4 linked regions of the Schizosaccharomyces pombe genome follow. Changing the gene in region 1 together with any one later gene gives a genetic interaction. Each region holds a gene or a part of one and is shown on either strand. Other genes may lie near its edges.

Evidence for each region.
Region 2: of ctr4 (region 1) and ctr6, changing one enhances a phenotype caused by changing the other (phenotypic enhancement), as found in Schizosaccharomyces pombe (2 studies listed by BioGRID).
Region 3: mutations in ctr4 (region 1) and fan1 are lethal when combined (synthetic lethality), as found in Schizosaccharomyces pombe (one large-scale study listed by BioGRID).
Region 4: mutations in ctr4 (region 1) and btn1 together harm fitness less than expected from each alone (positive genetic interaction), as found in Schizosaccharomyces pombe (one large-scale study listed by BioGRID).

The regions. Positions count from the first base shown.
Region 1 is NC_003421.2:816,521-819,893, forward strand, and holds ctr4 (Cu(2+) transporter complex subunit Ctr4), read left to right. Parts: upstream 1-1,938; coding exon 1,939-2,808; 3' UTR 2,809-2,841; downstream 2,842-3,373. Other genes in the region: telomere cap complex subunit Ten1, read right to left, coding at 3,329-3,373.
Region 2 is NC_003423.3:2,098,049-2,101,753, forward strand, and holds ctr6 (Cu transporter Ctr6), read left to right. Parts: upstream 1-2,066; 5' UTR 2,067-2,224; coding exon 2,225-2,269; exon of another isoform or gene 2,270-2,338; coding exon 2,339-2,364; exon of another isoform or gene 2,365-2,471; coding exon 2,472-2,732; exon of another isoform or gene 2,733-2,826; coding exon 2,827-2,848; exon of another isoform or gene 2,849-2,920; coding exon 2,921-3,013; 3' UTR 3,014-3,205; downstream 3,206-3,705. Other genes in the region: mti3 (mitochondrial translation initiation factor), read left to right, coding at 909-1,610; SEL1/TPR repeat protein, protein kinase inhibitor Nif1, read right to left, coding at 3,398-3,705. UniProt on the Schizosaccharomyces pombe protein: Mobilizes stored copper from the vacuole to the cytoplasm under conditions of copper limitation.
Region 3 is NC_003423.3:1,009,794-1,015,054, reverse strand, and holds fan1 (fanconi-associated nuclease 1), read left to right. Parts: upstream 1-1,949; 5' UTR 1,950-2,342; coding exon 2,343-4,454; 3' UTR 4,455-4,707; downstream 4,708-5,261. Other genes in the region: prp2 (U2 small nuclear RNA auxiliary factor small subunit, U2AF-59), read right to left, coding at 1-1,500; protein Cwf25, read left to right, coding at 5,064-5,098, 5,161-5,261.
Region 4 is NC_003424.3:2,049,896-2,053,702, reverse strand, and holds btn1 (battenin CLN3 family protein), read left to right. Parts: upstream 1-1,954; 5' UTR 1,955-2,050; coding exon 2,051-3,241; downstream 3,242-3,807. Other genes in the region: protein Mil1, read left to right, coding at 3,543-3,807. UniProt on the Schizosaccharomyces pombe protein: Involved in vacuolar transport and vacuole pH homeostasis. Also required for cytokinesis.

The sequences.
Region 1 (3,373 bases):
AATCACCTGAAACAAAAAGCAGCTATAATGTACGTTAAATTTTCGCTCTTAAGAAGAAATATATTTATAAAGCTATTTATTTGGTAGCTAAATAGTCAGACTGGTACAAGCGTTGACACTATTGGAAAAGTTAAGTAAACAATCCTTGATCCATCTCTGAAGAGAATGATTAGTAATGAAGGATTCAGTGCCTTTAAGAAAAAAAAACCCCCCAATTGTCTTTTCAAGCACATTTATATTGTTATGTATGGCATGTAAATATAATGCAGCATGTGTAAAAGAATATTGGACAGTTGAAAGGACCATGCTTATTTTTAAAAAAGGAAAAAGAAAATAAAGCAGATGAATGAAATTGTAATACCAATCTTTTGATTTGTGGGTCTTTTCCCCTTTATTTCAGCTCGAGGTTCTCTTTCTGAAAATCAATAAATATAGCACGAATTGTTTAATTATTTTCTTGTTGCATAGCTTCGGTTAAAATAAATATATAAAACAGCCCTAGTATTTCCCAAATGTGTTTACTAGTCTTTTCATATTTTCACCGGCCTGTTGGTTTTAACTGATCAAAAGTCATCAAGCCACCTGTTTTTCACTGCAAATATCAAATTCATTTCAATACAATAGAAAAAATGATGTGAATTAGTTTGCATAGAAAAAAACCTGAGACTAGAACTGGTAAAAATTTCTGTGCATTCACAATTGTGGGGAACTGAAAAAATAGAGAATCCAAAATGGGGAGAATCCGATATAGACTATGTTAAATCTAATAAATTTATACTCCAACCCATTCACTCTAAACTCAAGCTTTCTTGTAAAAAACATCAATACTGTTTTCTTAAAATTCCATCTCTATTACTCACTAAAAGAGTATATAAAATATTAAAGAAGCAATTGTTCAAAAAGTGGTCGCATGATGTAGTCGGTTATCATGTCGATCTAATAAGTCGAATGTCGCCAGTTCGAACCTGGCTGTGACCATATTTTTGCTTCTCAAAATTAACAATATTGTGAGCTTGCACTGAAATGCTGTATCTTACATACCGTTATTTTTGTAAATAGTGTATCGTTAAAACAATACCTTCTAATAGTGGATAGCGCACTCAACGGTTCTGATGCTAAAAAATGTCACATTTCCTCTATGCAAAAAGGTTGGATGTCTTACCTAAATCTTAGGTGTGTGTTTTTCTTGTGCTAAAATTATGGAAATGTCACTGTTTGTGATGCTGGATTCCGACTGATTCACTCATTTGATGAAAAAAAATGAGGCATTTTTCTTCTACCTCCATCTGCTACTTGGATGTTACTTTGTTGGAAGAAAAAATCAATCGAGGTATTATTGCGCTGTAAAAGAGCTGATTTTAGGGACAGAAATAATCGCTCATTTCGTAGGTTATGGTATATATAAGGAAGGTGTGATAGAGACATTCCTGGACGCTTAACCTTGAGACGATTGTTTGACTGAAAGGCTTTGGTAGAACATTGGGTTGGTTAGTTTAATCGTTTAAATTCAGTTTATTTACTTGTAATTTTTCATATTGGTCGAAAAATTGGTTTTTTTTAGCAAAATATAGAAACAGAATATTTTCTTTGAAATCTGTATAAATTCAATTTGCTCTTCAATTCGTTGAGATTCTGCCCATTGATTGCCGAAATTTCGTTCATTTTATAATTGTGTTTTCTTTCTTTTCTTGTCTCTCATTTTCTTTTTCTTCCTTTTGATATTCATTTCTCCATTGTGTTTCGTAGGGTTAATTTTCATCTGCATATATTCTGTTTTCTTGTTTTTTAAGAACAAAAATTTTTCATCTAAATATATAATTGTCAAAGTTAGTAAGATACTGGTCTTCCCTAATCTTCAAGTTTTCTTTTAACTCTTTCGTCCTTTTTTTCTAAAACTCATTTACTACTCTTCTGGTTTTTTATTTTTCCCTAGAAGTCATGTCTTTCTTCTCCGCTGCAAAGCAAAGTCTGGGTAATTCCCTCATTAAGTTAGGAACATCTATGGCTCAAAATTCCCAAGGCCCTGTAGATGACTCTAGCTTGTCTCAATTGGAGAATTTGCTCCCACCTTTGCAAATTTTGACTGCTAGAGCCGCTATGGCTGCTATGAACATGTCGAATGATACATCCATGTCTGGAATGAACATGACCAACAGTACGACACCCATGTCTGGAATGAACATGACCAATAGTACAACATCCATGTCTGGAATGAACATGTCCAACAGCACAACATCCATGTCTGGCATGAATATGACTAATACCACTACAACCGCAAAGGCTTCTTCTTGTAAATTATCCATGTATTGGAACTGGTATACTATCGATGCTTGCTTTATTACCAAACATTGGCATATCACCAGTAAGCATATGTTTGTCGGTAGTATTTTCGGAATTATCTTCATGATGATGGCATTGGAATTGGTCCGTCGCGGACAAAGAGAGTTCGATCGTTGGTGTGTCCGTAGATTTTCTCCCGCTAGCAATTCCTGCTGTCATTCGGGTGCCCCTGTTCATTCTGGTCCAAGCATGGCCCTTCGAATCTTTCTTCATTTTCTTCGGTCCTGCTTTTATCTAGTCCAGTATATTGTCGCGTATATCGCAATGTTACTCGCAATGTATTATAATGGCTATGTAATTTTATTTCTCTTTTGTGGCACCTTCTTTGGCTATTTCCTGTTTGGTGCGGATACCATCTCTACTAAGGCCTCTTCATCTGTTCAAACGAAAACGATCGTTCAAGTCGCCGACGAAAAACACGAACATGATTCCAGTCAATATTCAGACACAACACCTACAACCGAATAGCTTGATTATCTCTAAATTTGGTTTAGTATTCCCAATTTCATGCACCTCACTCATTTTCAGTGCTGAAGCGTCTGATTAATCATAATCGTCTTCGCTTTAATTTCTTTCGCACAGTCACTGATAGTTTGGAAGAGGATTCTTTGATGAATGTTGAAGCCACATATTACATGTCCATGTTGGAAAGACAAAACAAATTCTGGTAATTTGTCTTAAGTTTTTACAAAGTAATAAAAGTTTCAACAAAAATAAATAGATGCCACAAGGTAACGCTTATCTTTGTTAGTTAAACATTCAAATTAGAGTATATAGCAATTTGAACAGATGTAATTCGTTCCTTTTTTTTTTTAACCATGATTGTTTGTTTTCGACTTTGAACCTGGAGGTTAATAAATATTTATTATTATAAAGACTGACATTAACACGATTCAGTACCTTTATGGTATCTTAAGGTGATCACTTTCTATATATTTTTAAATGAGTTTGTAATGACATGGTGCAACAGAACTACATAAGATATTCATCAATCACATTTTTGACGTTCAGAAACCATTTGTCGATATCTCGG
Region 2 (3,705 bases), on another chromosome or scaffold:
AATTACTGGACTAAACTAGAGACTTTTTTGACTAACCGCTGACTATAAAAGTTTATTAAATAGATTTGATTTTTAACTGTTAAACATTGCCATTTATTATGAGGAAAATGAGATTAAAAATATTGACTAAGTTGTTGTTTTGTCTTTTGGCAGACGAATCTTTATTTGAGCTTTATTACTGATCTTTTGTTAATTATTCTTAAATCATCAGTCAGTTTTATTAAATTTTATCCAAGGCTCTGGAAATTTAAGAAGCAAACAATGAATTATCACAGCGAATAGCCTTGTACCGTGAAAAGCCTTGTCTTTGAGTTAATCCAATACATCGAAAGATTTGCCAAGTCTATTTAAAGAATATAATTATTTAAAATAGGTAGATGTTTGATCTACTTACAATTTTGCCTTCTATACTTAGTAAAGTATGCACGTATTAAGTATAACTATGTGCGTCTTATCTGATTAGATACCAGCTTTTGAAGCCGTGCATAACACCTGAAATTTCATGAAAAACGACTTTTTCAAAAAAGGTTACAGATATATTAACTTAGCATAATAACAAAAACACATTTCTCAGCATTTTCACTTACAGGAGTCTTGGAGTAACTAATTTCGTTTATTTACATTGTTTACTAGTGAGCTACTGAAGCATACGTTAAACAACGTTATGATGAAATTCGCATTTCATTGGGGGTTGGTACACGCTAGAGGAATTCAAATACACTGCTCTTCATTTTAGTTAGCTTGTATATAAAACATATATAGAGTTTTACTTCATTAAAATCTAGTACAAGCTGCAATACCTCCGTTCTTCGATTCTTCATATATTTGTTGGTAATTTGCTGGATTGAAGTTTTTGACCAAACAGTTATTACTATACGATACGGCTTGCACAGTAGCTACTGAGAGAAATGAATAGTTACTTACAGTTTCCTCATCGAAAACTTTTCATTCAGTTTTCCTATTCCTTAACTTCAGTTTTTCGAAAATGCCAGAGCCGGACTTTTATGAATTCTCAATTTGCAAGTGCGAAACTCAGTAATTCTATAAAGAAGTACTTTGATGGACGAATTGATGAATCGATCAAGTATCAAGAAATATTTATTCGGGGGCTGGAAAATAAAGGGAAACTCTCGAAGACATCTTTAGTTGAAGCGTTGGCTAGAGTTCGCGCAAAACCGGAAACTGTTCTTTACAAGGTGGCCGATCCAAACGAGAACAATAAATATCCTATATGTTCTATCATCAGCTACACAGAACTTAGCAAATTACGAGAAAATCAATCTTCTAGGTTACGTGAAGCTGAAAAATCGAAGCACAAAAATAAAACTCGTACTCGATATGTACTGTTTTCTTGGAGAACTGATGTGAATGATATCGAGAGAAAACTTAAAAGTGTTAAAGATTTTTTACAAGATGGAAACATTGTTGAGATTCATGTGCAAAATAAAAAACGCAGTCAACCGGTATCCCAAGAAGTAAGGGACTCAATATTGTCGAAAATTCAATTGGAGATTGAAGGTCTTGGCAAAGATATGAAGCCTCCGATTGTCAATTCTCACTCTGCAACTTTTCTACTTCAACCGTTAGTGTCTAAAAGTTCTGAGTTGTAAACAAAGTGTATCTCATGTGCTTGCATATCTTGCTGTAAATGATTAAATTAATATTTATGCCGCTATGAGTTCCTTGACATACAAAATTAGTAATCAATAAAACATCTGATTAAGGATAAAAGTGAGTATATATTTATGAAGTTCAATTTGTAATGAAAATATTTTATACATTTACTCGTATTTGCTAAATGAAGACTATACTTTGAAATATTTAACTCATCCTTTCTTTATGCAATCCAATTTTCTTTGAAATGCCTGTAAGTCAAGATTTGTAATACTGTAACGTGCTTGCTTATGCATTTCAGTTATTCGTATTTTCTATACATACTGTTTGCTTCTTTCCTTACCATTAATGTTCACTCTTTTTCGGTAAATTTATTCAATGCAATATACCATTAGTGTACGTGGTGCTGGAGTGGATCGGCTGATATATCGTTACTTGCATAATTGTAGCATAAACACCGCGTCTTTACATAAAATGATGAGTGCTAGACTGCAATTTACCTTCGTTTGCTTATAAGTTTTTATTTGCCCTGTACATCCATTCTTTACTATATTTGTGTTTTAACCTTGTTCTACCTCAGCCGAAAGTAAAAAGTAATTCTGTAGGCACTATGAATCACGGCGGTAATTCTACGATGCGACACTGTTCAATGAAGGTATGATCTTTCTATTTTTTATTTCAGTATTTGTTTTGATTATCCAAAAACACTCGTTAACATGCTTAGATGACCTTTAACACCGATTATGACAAGTACGTTCGTTTATGAAGTTCTAGATAACTGTTGGTACAATTATTTTCATTGACTTTTTCCCGATTTATTATATTTTTTAAACGTTCGTTATTTTCTAACCTTGCAGCTTATGCATAGTATTTAAAAGTTGGCATATCGGTAATTTGAGCCAATTTTTACTCTCTCTGTTAGCAATTGCGATTCTGGGTTATCTTTTTGAAAGACTTCGCAGCTTTACCAGTTTAAAGGAAACAGAATTTCAAAGAGGTTATGCTGGTCAGCAGTCTGAGGGTTTGTTAACCCATCATAGTAAGAGTCTAAAAAGTGGTCGACCTTTTCGTTTGTGTGCATTGTACGCTGTTCAACTGGTGTTTTCATATTTCTTAATGTATGTTCATAATAGACATTGCTTCGTATGATCTGTCTATTTTCCGATTTTCAATCAATTTATTCTTTGTTTTTTACTAACTAAAGTGACTTAGGTTGGTTGCCATGACCTACAACGTAAGTTAATGACTTCGAGGGAATAGTCGAATACAATCATCTATCTTTCTTGCTTTATACTTACTTATTTAGGCTTATGTCATCCTCGCCATTGCTATCGGTGCTGCTTTTGGCTATAGGAGATCTCATTGTGATACTGTTCAAACTGTAGGATTATGCCATTAAGCCTAACTTACTTTGATTATTTTCTCATCGTCGGAATCACTTTTTATCCTTTAACTAGGTATCAAGGATAAGATTTGACTTGTTTGCTTCATTGAGTATTTGTCTTTTTTTCAACTAAACTTAATTAAGTTATTTTTTTTTTCATTTTTTGTAATGAATTTAATGAATAATTATTGGTCTTTTGTAACTTAATGGATTAGTAAAGAATTTTAAATTCTTTATCTAGATATGCAAATCTCAAACTAAATTATAAAGGGACTAAAGAGCGATTGTAATAAAAAAAAGGACTAACTAGCAAACACATATTGTGGAAAATGCAAATAAATGAATAGGACAAAAACAAAAAAAAAAGACAAAAAAAATGGTAAAAGAATGAGAGGGATTTTACAAATACCTTACAGAAGTAATCAAACTTCGTAATTTAGCTTTTGGCTTTGTAGAAAACTTCAGTGAGTGAGATTCTAAATTTTCTACAATGGCCGAAACATATGCCACTTCGCTTGCAGCAGGCACTTTATGATTAGCAGCTAAGCTATATTTCGATTTATAAACCCACTTGCATTTCGAAGGGGGTGAAATCCCTTGAAATCCAGCCAAACGGTAATAGTAAGCTGCCATATGAGAGTCCTTGTCTGAAACAGCTCCCAAAGACATTTGAAGACCAGCTTCAAACTGCGCATCAGCATCGCCCC
Region 3 (5,261 bases), on another chromosome or scaffold:
GCGATCATTAAATTTACAACCTTTCATCTCTTCCATTGCGACCTCTGCAGATCTGATATCGGAGTATCGTACAAAAACCTTTCCAGTTCCTAATCCCGAGTTTCTAGTGCCAATACTACGAGGAATTTTTATATCTATAAGTGGTCCATAATTCGAAAATTGGGTCTTTACAGACTCATATATGTCTTCATATTCTTGTACATCCATAATTTCGTCCCCAGTAATTAAATTATGTAATTGTAAGACTCTAGTTGGAATAGATTGTGATGACGCCTTAGCAAGTTCTGTCAAAATGGCCATTCCATTAGACTTATCTATCATAGCTTGATTGAGACCTACACAAGCAAATTGTGCGTGTAACTTGTTCCCATACGTATCTTTACCATCAAGACCGCTGATAGCTACTTCCGCATCAGAAGGATTTTTAAATTCGCAAAAACAAAAACCCTTCGAAGATCCATCTGCAATATTTTTTATCAATTGAAAGCTTAATAAATCACCGAAAGGCTTAAGTAGCTCCACCACTTGATCTTCGCCTAAATTTAAAGGTAAATTTGAAATGTAAATTTTGTCTTTTGAATCTAAAACGTCGTTCTTGGCATAATCATCACTTCTTTTTTGAGAAACTTCGGGGGTAATTTGAGGGACGATGTAATTTTGAATTCTTTGAAATTTTAAAAAGACATCATTAGAATATGATTCGGACTGAAGCCCCCAGAGGAAGGTGGCATCTTCAGGAGTAGCGACCTCAAGAATAGCAAAGTTTTCTTCTTTACAGACGTTGACAGAGGAGAAATGCTTTGTCTCGGGTTTATGGTATGTAGTTGAAATAAATAGATCTTCGATAAATGATACAAAAGCATCTTCAACGAATTCGTTAGGAATTCCAGTAACCACTAGTCGACGAGCCTGTCTGCTAGCACCTGGTTGTAAGGGCGGAGGGGGAGCAATAATACTTCCTTCCGCAGAGCGAGCAAATTCTAGCAATTTCTCTGGATCAGTAACTGCAGCTCTAGGAGCGCCTGGCAAAGGAAAAACACCAGACATTTTCGCCTGGTCAGCAGTAACCAATTCATAACCAGGTGGTTTAATGTCCCATAAAGAGCGCTTCCTTTTCCACTGATTTATTGGTGTTACATCTCTCAATTGTTCGAGTTCCTGTTCGATAGACCTTACGCTTCTTTCTCGGCTGGGAGGTGGACTTCTACTTCTTCCGACAGATGAATAACGTAATGATCGAGGCTCATAATCATCATATCTTCTTTCTCTTCTTGGCCTCTCATCCTCTCGATAACTTCTTTCACGAGATTCTCTATGTCTACGAAAATCACTTTCGTCTCGGCGACGTCTTCTAGGTCGTTCAGAGCCATAATGGCCTCTCGGGTCTTCCCTTCCTATCCCACCCGAACCTCTTTCTCGTCTAGGTTCTTCATCGCGATAATCTCTGTGTCGCTTGGGTATCCGTGAAGAACCTGATGATAATCTGGAAGACAAATCCATGTTAGTGAATGAATATGAGGCTATTTAAAAAATTATTCAAAAAAGAAGGGAGGGAAGAAATTCGTTTATTAAAATGAACTCTTAAATTCTCCGGAAAAAACTTTGATGAAAGTAGGGAATACAAAAGTACAAATTCTAATGAAATGATATGCGCGTCAATGCTCTTGGATTCCTTGCTAAAAAAAATTTATAACATGAACAATAATAATTAACTTATTTTTTCTTTATGTGATACGCCCAAGGTTAGTCAAAAGTTTCGACTTACTAAGTTAAGGTAGTGAGAGTTTGTAGTAACTTCGCCAGCGTCGTAATTTTAAGCACAACGTTGTTGACTTACATTTTCTTTTTAGTTTCAAATAGCAACTTTCGCTAAACTTGCATTATAGACAACACTGTAACTTACGAATGCAGTTAAATTTTCAAAAGCATTTATTTAAACTGTTGTCCTTACCCTAGTACCATTCTCCTAAGTTTTAACGAATTTTTCTCTTTTGACCATAGTATTTGATTGTATGGCTTTCTTTTAAAGCAATCTTTAAAAATTTACAGCTGCCATGAAATTCAATAATTTTCGTTTTTTTTTTGCCAGTACATCCACGATAGATTTAATGTTTGTCTCATTTTATCCTTGAAATCCATGCTCTTAAATTGTATGTTCAATCTTTTAAAAATTTACTTTATTACACAAGAAGACGTTTACATTCATTCAAAATTTATTATTATTTATTTTCATACTAGCTTTCCATTGTTGTAAAAGCCGCTCTTTTTTTTAAATATTTGTTTACTTACGGCCATCATCTTGTGCACTTATTCAGTCGCGCTGCTGTGATATCTAAAAATTCATGAAACGATTCTTTAATGAAGCGTGCGACATAAACACTCCAGATAAATCTGGGGTAAACGAGAACAAGTTATGTTTCCCTCCCTTAAAAGTTGTATGTCAAGCACCAGAGACAACAGTTAAAGGACAAGTTGCCAATACTAATAAGCACAATGTATATTCTACTAAAAATTCAATGTATCTGCTGGGGTTCGAAGAAATCCTAAACACCGTCCTCGATTGTGAACCGCATATCTTTACTGATGATGAGTTGAGGGTTATTGAAAACTTTAAAGCTTTAGACTCGGATGAACGGTACTTGTTTGTTCGTCTATTCATGCGTAAAAGAAATAAATGGTTCCGCGTGGGCCATTTGACTTATCCAGATTGCAAGGATGTTATTGCCTGCTGTAAGCAGCTTGTTCTGAAAAATTTTTTTGAAGATGAATCACTCATGTCAACTGAAGAAATAATTGAAATTCTATCTCTCGATGAATTGCGTTCGTTAGCTAGACAAACGAAGGTGTGTGGAAAAAGCAGGTCTGAAATTTCAAAAGAAATCATTTTCCTATCTAAAAGACAATCAGTACTACATTGTAATGGTCAACAATTTTTGTCCTTTGATGCTTTTGGTGTGATGCATAAGCAAGAGTCGTTTCTTCGGAAGCAACTATTATATCAATGCAAATCCTGTGTGAAACCAAAGAAAATTTTAGTAGACCTATTTCATCGAATTAATATTGTGTACTTTCGTTCGTCCATTTATGATGAACAATCGCTTACGTCTTTAATATTAGCACGCCTTAACAAATTTTCCTACCCGAATTACGTTTTATCGCGAACTTCAAACGTCTTTAATTGTCGTGCTCAATGCCTTGAATACGTTGAGGTTTTAGAACTTTCAAAAAACTTGGTTCCAATCTTTGAAAACACTGCCGCTTCGGATAAGGAAGCACTCGAACAAGCGTTGAACAGTTTTTTTGAAATATATCCTATATGGTCGACATATCTAAATGAAGACATTAGGGAATTTTGGGTGGAAGAAAATAGAAAAGTAGATACTCGATTGGTAAGGTTTTCTTTTAGCTTTCGTCCTGGTGCTGTTTACACATACTTAATACATAAAAGTCTAAATATTCTCGCGAAGTCGCGATTAGTTGAGGTTGAACATGAAATATTAGATACCCTTTTATCTCAAAATATATATTTGGTGGGTAAAAGAGGACATTGGTATAATAGAAAAGCCTTACTGGAATACAACTTTAAAACTGAGGATACTAACGTTTTGCGTTATTGGAAAACGCTTGCTTTATCAACTTGTGAAAATGGTATTGAAGACAAGTATACCCACCTCAGATATTACTTTAGCTTACAAAGGAGACTTGTTCGCTTACGGAAGTGTTTAAAAGTCTCTAATACTACCGAATTAAAAAGCATGAAACTTATAAATAATAATCCTTCAAGACTTTTTCTTCATGGTGAACGAATACATAACGGTGACCTTTCAAACCGGACTGTTTGGCGTAGCAAGACTAATAATGCTATCACAGTTGAAGAGCTTGCTCTTCAACATTATCAATCGATTGGGTGGGAAGGTATACATGCTGAAAGCAGCATTTTGCTAACTTTGTTTGCTTTGACATTCTGGGATATTTTGTTTGAGGACGTTCCTGGTGTTTTTCAATCTCCGTTTCAAAGTGCACCTTTGGATTTGCACACTGATTCCTTTTATATATCTAGAGAATCGACAATCATGAAAAGACTTGAGGAAATAAGAAATGGGAAAGCTGGCCTAATTATAAAAGATAATTATATCAGAGAGCACCAAAGAAAAACATTTTGTGTAGGTCTTAATTGGTCGTATACTTGCGAAATGCTTCTTGAAATTGTCGATTGTATCAACGATAATGGACTCGCCCAAATATTTCTTGCTTTGACCCAAGATTATAAAAATAGTTCTAGCGGGATACCTGATTTATGTTTGTGGAATCCGTCTAAAAAAAAATTTATGTTTTCAGAAGTTAAAAGCGATAATGATAGGCTCTCAGAAGCGCAAAAATTCTGGATATCATTACTAATATCCAGTGAAGTTGATGTTGAAGTTTGTCATGTCTCCATGCACAAAAAAAAATAAAAAACGTGATTGTTAATCTTTTCATTAAATGCATAGCTTATGTAAATTACACTTTGCTTGCTGAATTACCATCGTTTTGCCAAGGAGAATAACTTAGTCATTTCTCATTTTAGAAATGTTGATTGATTTTGAATGGATTAAGTATATAATATGCAACTTATTGGACTGAATTCACATATTCTATTCCAGTATATAATTAAGTTTCAACCCATGTTTTCATGCTGTATACCAATTTGTTTAAAATCACATTCATAATCAAGTAGGATTTTTAATGATACATTGCTTTTTAATCAGTTTAAAGTGAAATAGAACTTACGTTTATCAATGACTTAGTTATAGCTAAAATACTAAGAAATCTGAACGTGATTATTATTGATTGGTCTCAGAATTCGCAAGCTTGACTTTCTATTCTTGGGTAACATGTTACCCAAGTAATTTAGTGTATATGTTTGCAAAACACTATGAGTCACAGGTAAAGCGAGACTCAATTTTTTGTATTAATAGCCACTTTTTGAGAATTGTGGTTTTTAATCCTAAAAATAAAACAATTAGTGGATTTTCCTCTCAATTTTATTTTGAAATTTAAACAACTCTTATTAGTAATTCAAAATGGGTGGTGGAGATCTAAATATGAAGAAAAGCTGGTAAGTGGATTTATTTGCATTAATATAATTGTTTAAAGATGTTTTACTAATATTATGATTAGGCATCCTCTGCTAATGAGGAACCAGGAAAAAGTTTGGAAAGATGAGCAAGCTCACAAAGAAGAGATGAAGCGAGTCGAGCAACTTAGGCGAGAAATTGAAG
Region 4 (3,807 bases), on another chromosome or scaffold:
AAAGAAGAGTCAAAAAAATCGCGATATCGATACTAAACAAAATTGCGATCAGAAGAAGCACAAGGTGCCGAAAAAAAAATATTGACACAAGAAGATAAGAATGCAACAGTAATGATATTTGACAAAAATCAATCGGTAAAGAAAAGAAAGTTCGTACTAAAGGCTCTATATATACAAAAAAAATGCTGCTTTAAATATCACTCAAACCGAAACAATCGACTCTGTAAACAAACAGAAAAACAGTGCTTATTCGACAAAACATTCAAAAGTGTGGGGAAACTTTTATTAATCAGTTTCTTACTGGTTTAAACAAAATATAACAAGGCTGAGCAAAAAAAATAGGAGTCAAAGGCTTTACCAAAAGCTTGATGCGAGTGTTAACTCATTGAAGCGCACATCGTCCATCTTTTTTACTTGATGATCTACACATGATCATCTCTAACAATGAGGGAAGTTTTGCATTCAGATTATATGAGTTGTTTATACAAGTCGCATATGAACATTCTGAAACGAGGGTACGGAAATGATGGAATATACTTTAATAGTTTAAAGAGAGTTAAAATGAGTGCATCATCATATCTGGTATGCATTTTCGATTACAGGGAGAGGGTGGTACTGTAAAATTACCATTTTACAGCACGAAAACTCCTTTTGTTTATCAGTAGATTAAAAGGATACTCTCATTAGTAAGTTTAGTGGATTAAATAGTATTAACAGCATGTGCTTAAAAAATGTTGAAACATGTCGATGGCACTGTGATCGCATAATAATTCATTATGCTCATTGAAGTTAATATAAAACCAAAGGAAATCTAAGAGATTATAAGTCTCTTAGCTTTACTTAAAAGAGATTCTAAAATTCAAACTCTAAAGTGCGTCTGCAAACAGCTGTTTGCTGTAGCTGCTGGATTTATGAACCATGGTGAGGTGCGATTTGTAAACTAGAGAATGATAGCGAAACGCTCGTTAAAACGCCAATATCGCACTTTCTATGGACAGTATTATAAATTTGTAGTACAGCATCAAGCATAATATAATTCCCAGTAACTAACATAATGATCCCATTACTGTTAAATGTAATGTGTTATGGGTCAAAGCAAACAAGGCAAATTTGATAATGAACGAGATGATTTTTCGGTTCGGTTTCCAATTCGTTATTATAAACAGTCGTAACGGAGCGTCAAACCTTCATTTAGTAAAAAAAAAAAAAAAAAATTGACTAAGCAATACGAAATATCTATAGTAGATACATGCGTATTACTATTTTATATTATTGTTGAGCAAAGTGATAATGCAATAACGATGTTAACCGTAGTTCGGTAAAGACACATTCATACGATATTATATTCAATTTGTTTTGATTTACGATTTAGAGTTTTTAAACATAAGCAAACGAAGATCGGAATTAAACCAAAATAAATCTCGTGCCAAAAACAATAACTTCATAAGTAGAAGCTGTAGACACGTGAATAGAATATTTAAAGATGTTGTAATTGTTTTCCTGGGAGATTTCAAGAAGTGCTAACCGAAGCATGAGTAAACTAGGAGCTTTTCGATCACAGCAAGCAAGGCATGTCAGTTACTAGTCGTTGAAATTTTAGTAGGGTAAGCTTTAGCTTGATAGCGGTTGCTTGGAAAAAACAGTGTAACATTCAAAATCGGTTTCTTTTGAACCTGACAACATTACCGTAATAATTCAATCGCTCAATACGCCATTCGTGAAGGGTAGTAGCCTTTCTCTTACGAAGTTACTAAAAACTCAATTTTTTTTGTACCCTTAAGCGCTTACGAGTTCTTTTCTTCAACTTATTGCTACTCGAATAATAAATGTTAAACATATCTCGACTTGCTTTTCAGTTCGTTGATCCTCGCTATTTACAGTTTGTAACAAGTTAACTCGTCTATGAAGTCATCGATAGAAGGGCTTTAAAGTGTGCTATTTGCGAAACAACAGCAAATTTGTAGACTAGCACTTTACAAAAGTCTACTATCGTATTGCCGGTTCAAACTAAAATTTATGACCTCAGTTTCTACTAAATATAGTACGAATCATGATTAAATTGAGGTTAACAAAAGATGCGAAAGTAGGGTGTTGCTTCCTAATTTTTGGATTGTTAAACAACCTTCTCTACGTGATAATTTTATCCGCTGCCTTAGATTTGGTTGGCGCAAACGTTTCTAAGGGTGTGGTACTACTTTCTAATATTGTTCCTTCTTTGGCGTGCAAGTTGTCAGCATCAATTCTTCATGTTCATAAATTTAAGTTTGCAAAGAGAATCGGTTTTTGTGTTTTCATGTCCATATTAGGAATGCAATGGATTGCTTGGTCTTCCTCCGTCCCTTCGAAAATGCTTGGTGTATCTCTGGCAGCCATTTCATCGAGTTTTGGCGAAATCTCTTTCTTGCATCTATCAAGTCGTTATCACTCTGTGTCTTTACCGTGCTGGAGTTCCGGAACAGGCTTGGCCGGTCTCTTTGGTGCATCTTCCTATTTGGTTATGACTACATGGTTTAACTTCTCGGTACGCAGCACACTTATTATCTCTAGCTTTCTGCCGCTTTTCCTTTTGATCATGTACTTTTTTGTGTTGCCAGAGTCTGAATCTACATCACCTTCAATTAACAACAATTATACGCCAATTGAATCTATTGATCTTCGAGCAGGGCACGTTTCATTCAATTTCGTTAATTCTTTGAAGCAAACATTCATATTCATGCAACCATACCTTCTTAGTCATATGTTTCCGCAGTTCCTTGTATACTTCTCAGAATATACTATCAATATTGGTGTAGCTCCCACTCTTTTATTCCCGCCCGAAAAAGCTGGCTTTTCTTCGTTTAGGGATTTTTATCCTACTTACCAAACTGTTTACCAGATTGGTGTTTTCCTATCGCGATCCTCCATTTCATTTTTTACTGTCCCATATTTGCGCACATTGGCAATAACACAGTTCATTATCCTTCTATTTACTATACTACAGTCGGCCCTATATCTTACTTCCAGCTATCATTTTGTACTATTCCTCATATTCGTTGAGGGTCTTATTGGTGGTACCGTTTATGTGAACGTGTATCATAGTTTGCAGACTACGGAGAGTAGTCAGCGTGAACTAGCTATTAGTACTGTTGGCTCTTCAGATAGCTCTGGAATTTTTTTAGCTTCATTGGTATCACTATTCCTTGAACCCTCCTTGTGCCATTTCCAAGCTGATCGTGGCCGAGATTGGTGTGCCTTAACTTGAAATAGTGAGTGCGCACATCTCCATTATATTGAGAGTTAACCTATGACGTTTCTTCCATTAGTGTGCTAAGTGCTTCAATATCAAGTTTGCTTTACGACCATTTTCTTTCAACTATTGTTTACTTTTTTAGTTCTTAATAGGTTTGCTTTGAAAGAAGAAGTTTTTCATTCCTAATTCCTGATACCAGAAGTTCTTAAACTTTTGGTGCACAATTACTTTCTGCTGTGCATTCTATGCGAATCATATCAAAACATACATTACTTAATTTTTTCCTTTTCATATCTTCCTTCTTTTAGATAATATGGCAGAACAGAAAATCATATCCTTATTTGACGATGATGCTTGTACTCGTTATACAATTTTAATTGCTAGTACAATTGGTGAAATGCGAGAGAAGAAAGAGTCAATAATCGATAACACGGATCCTGAAATAGTAAAATATCTTTCTCAATTATTGGACGTCTTTAGAGAAAACTTCGACACTTGGGCAATGGCAGTTGTAAATCGCACAGGTTGCGCACTGGATCCCTCTACTCCAAAGGATCAAGTAGAAGTAAAAAAATTTC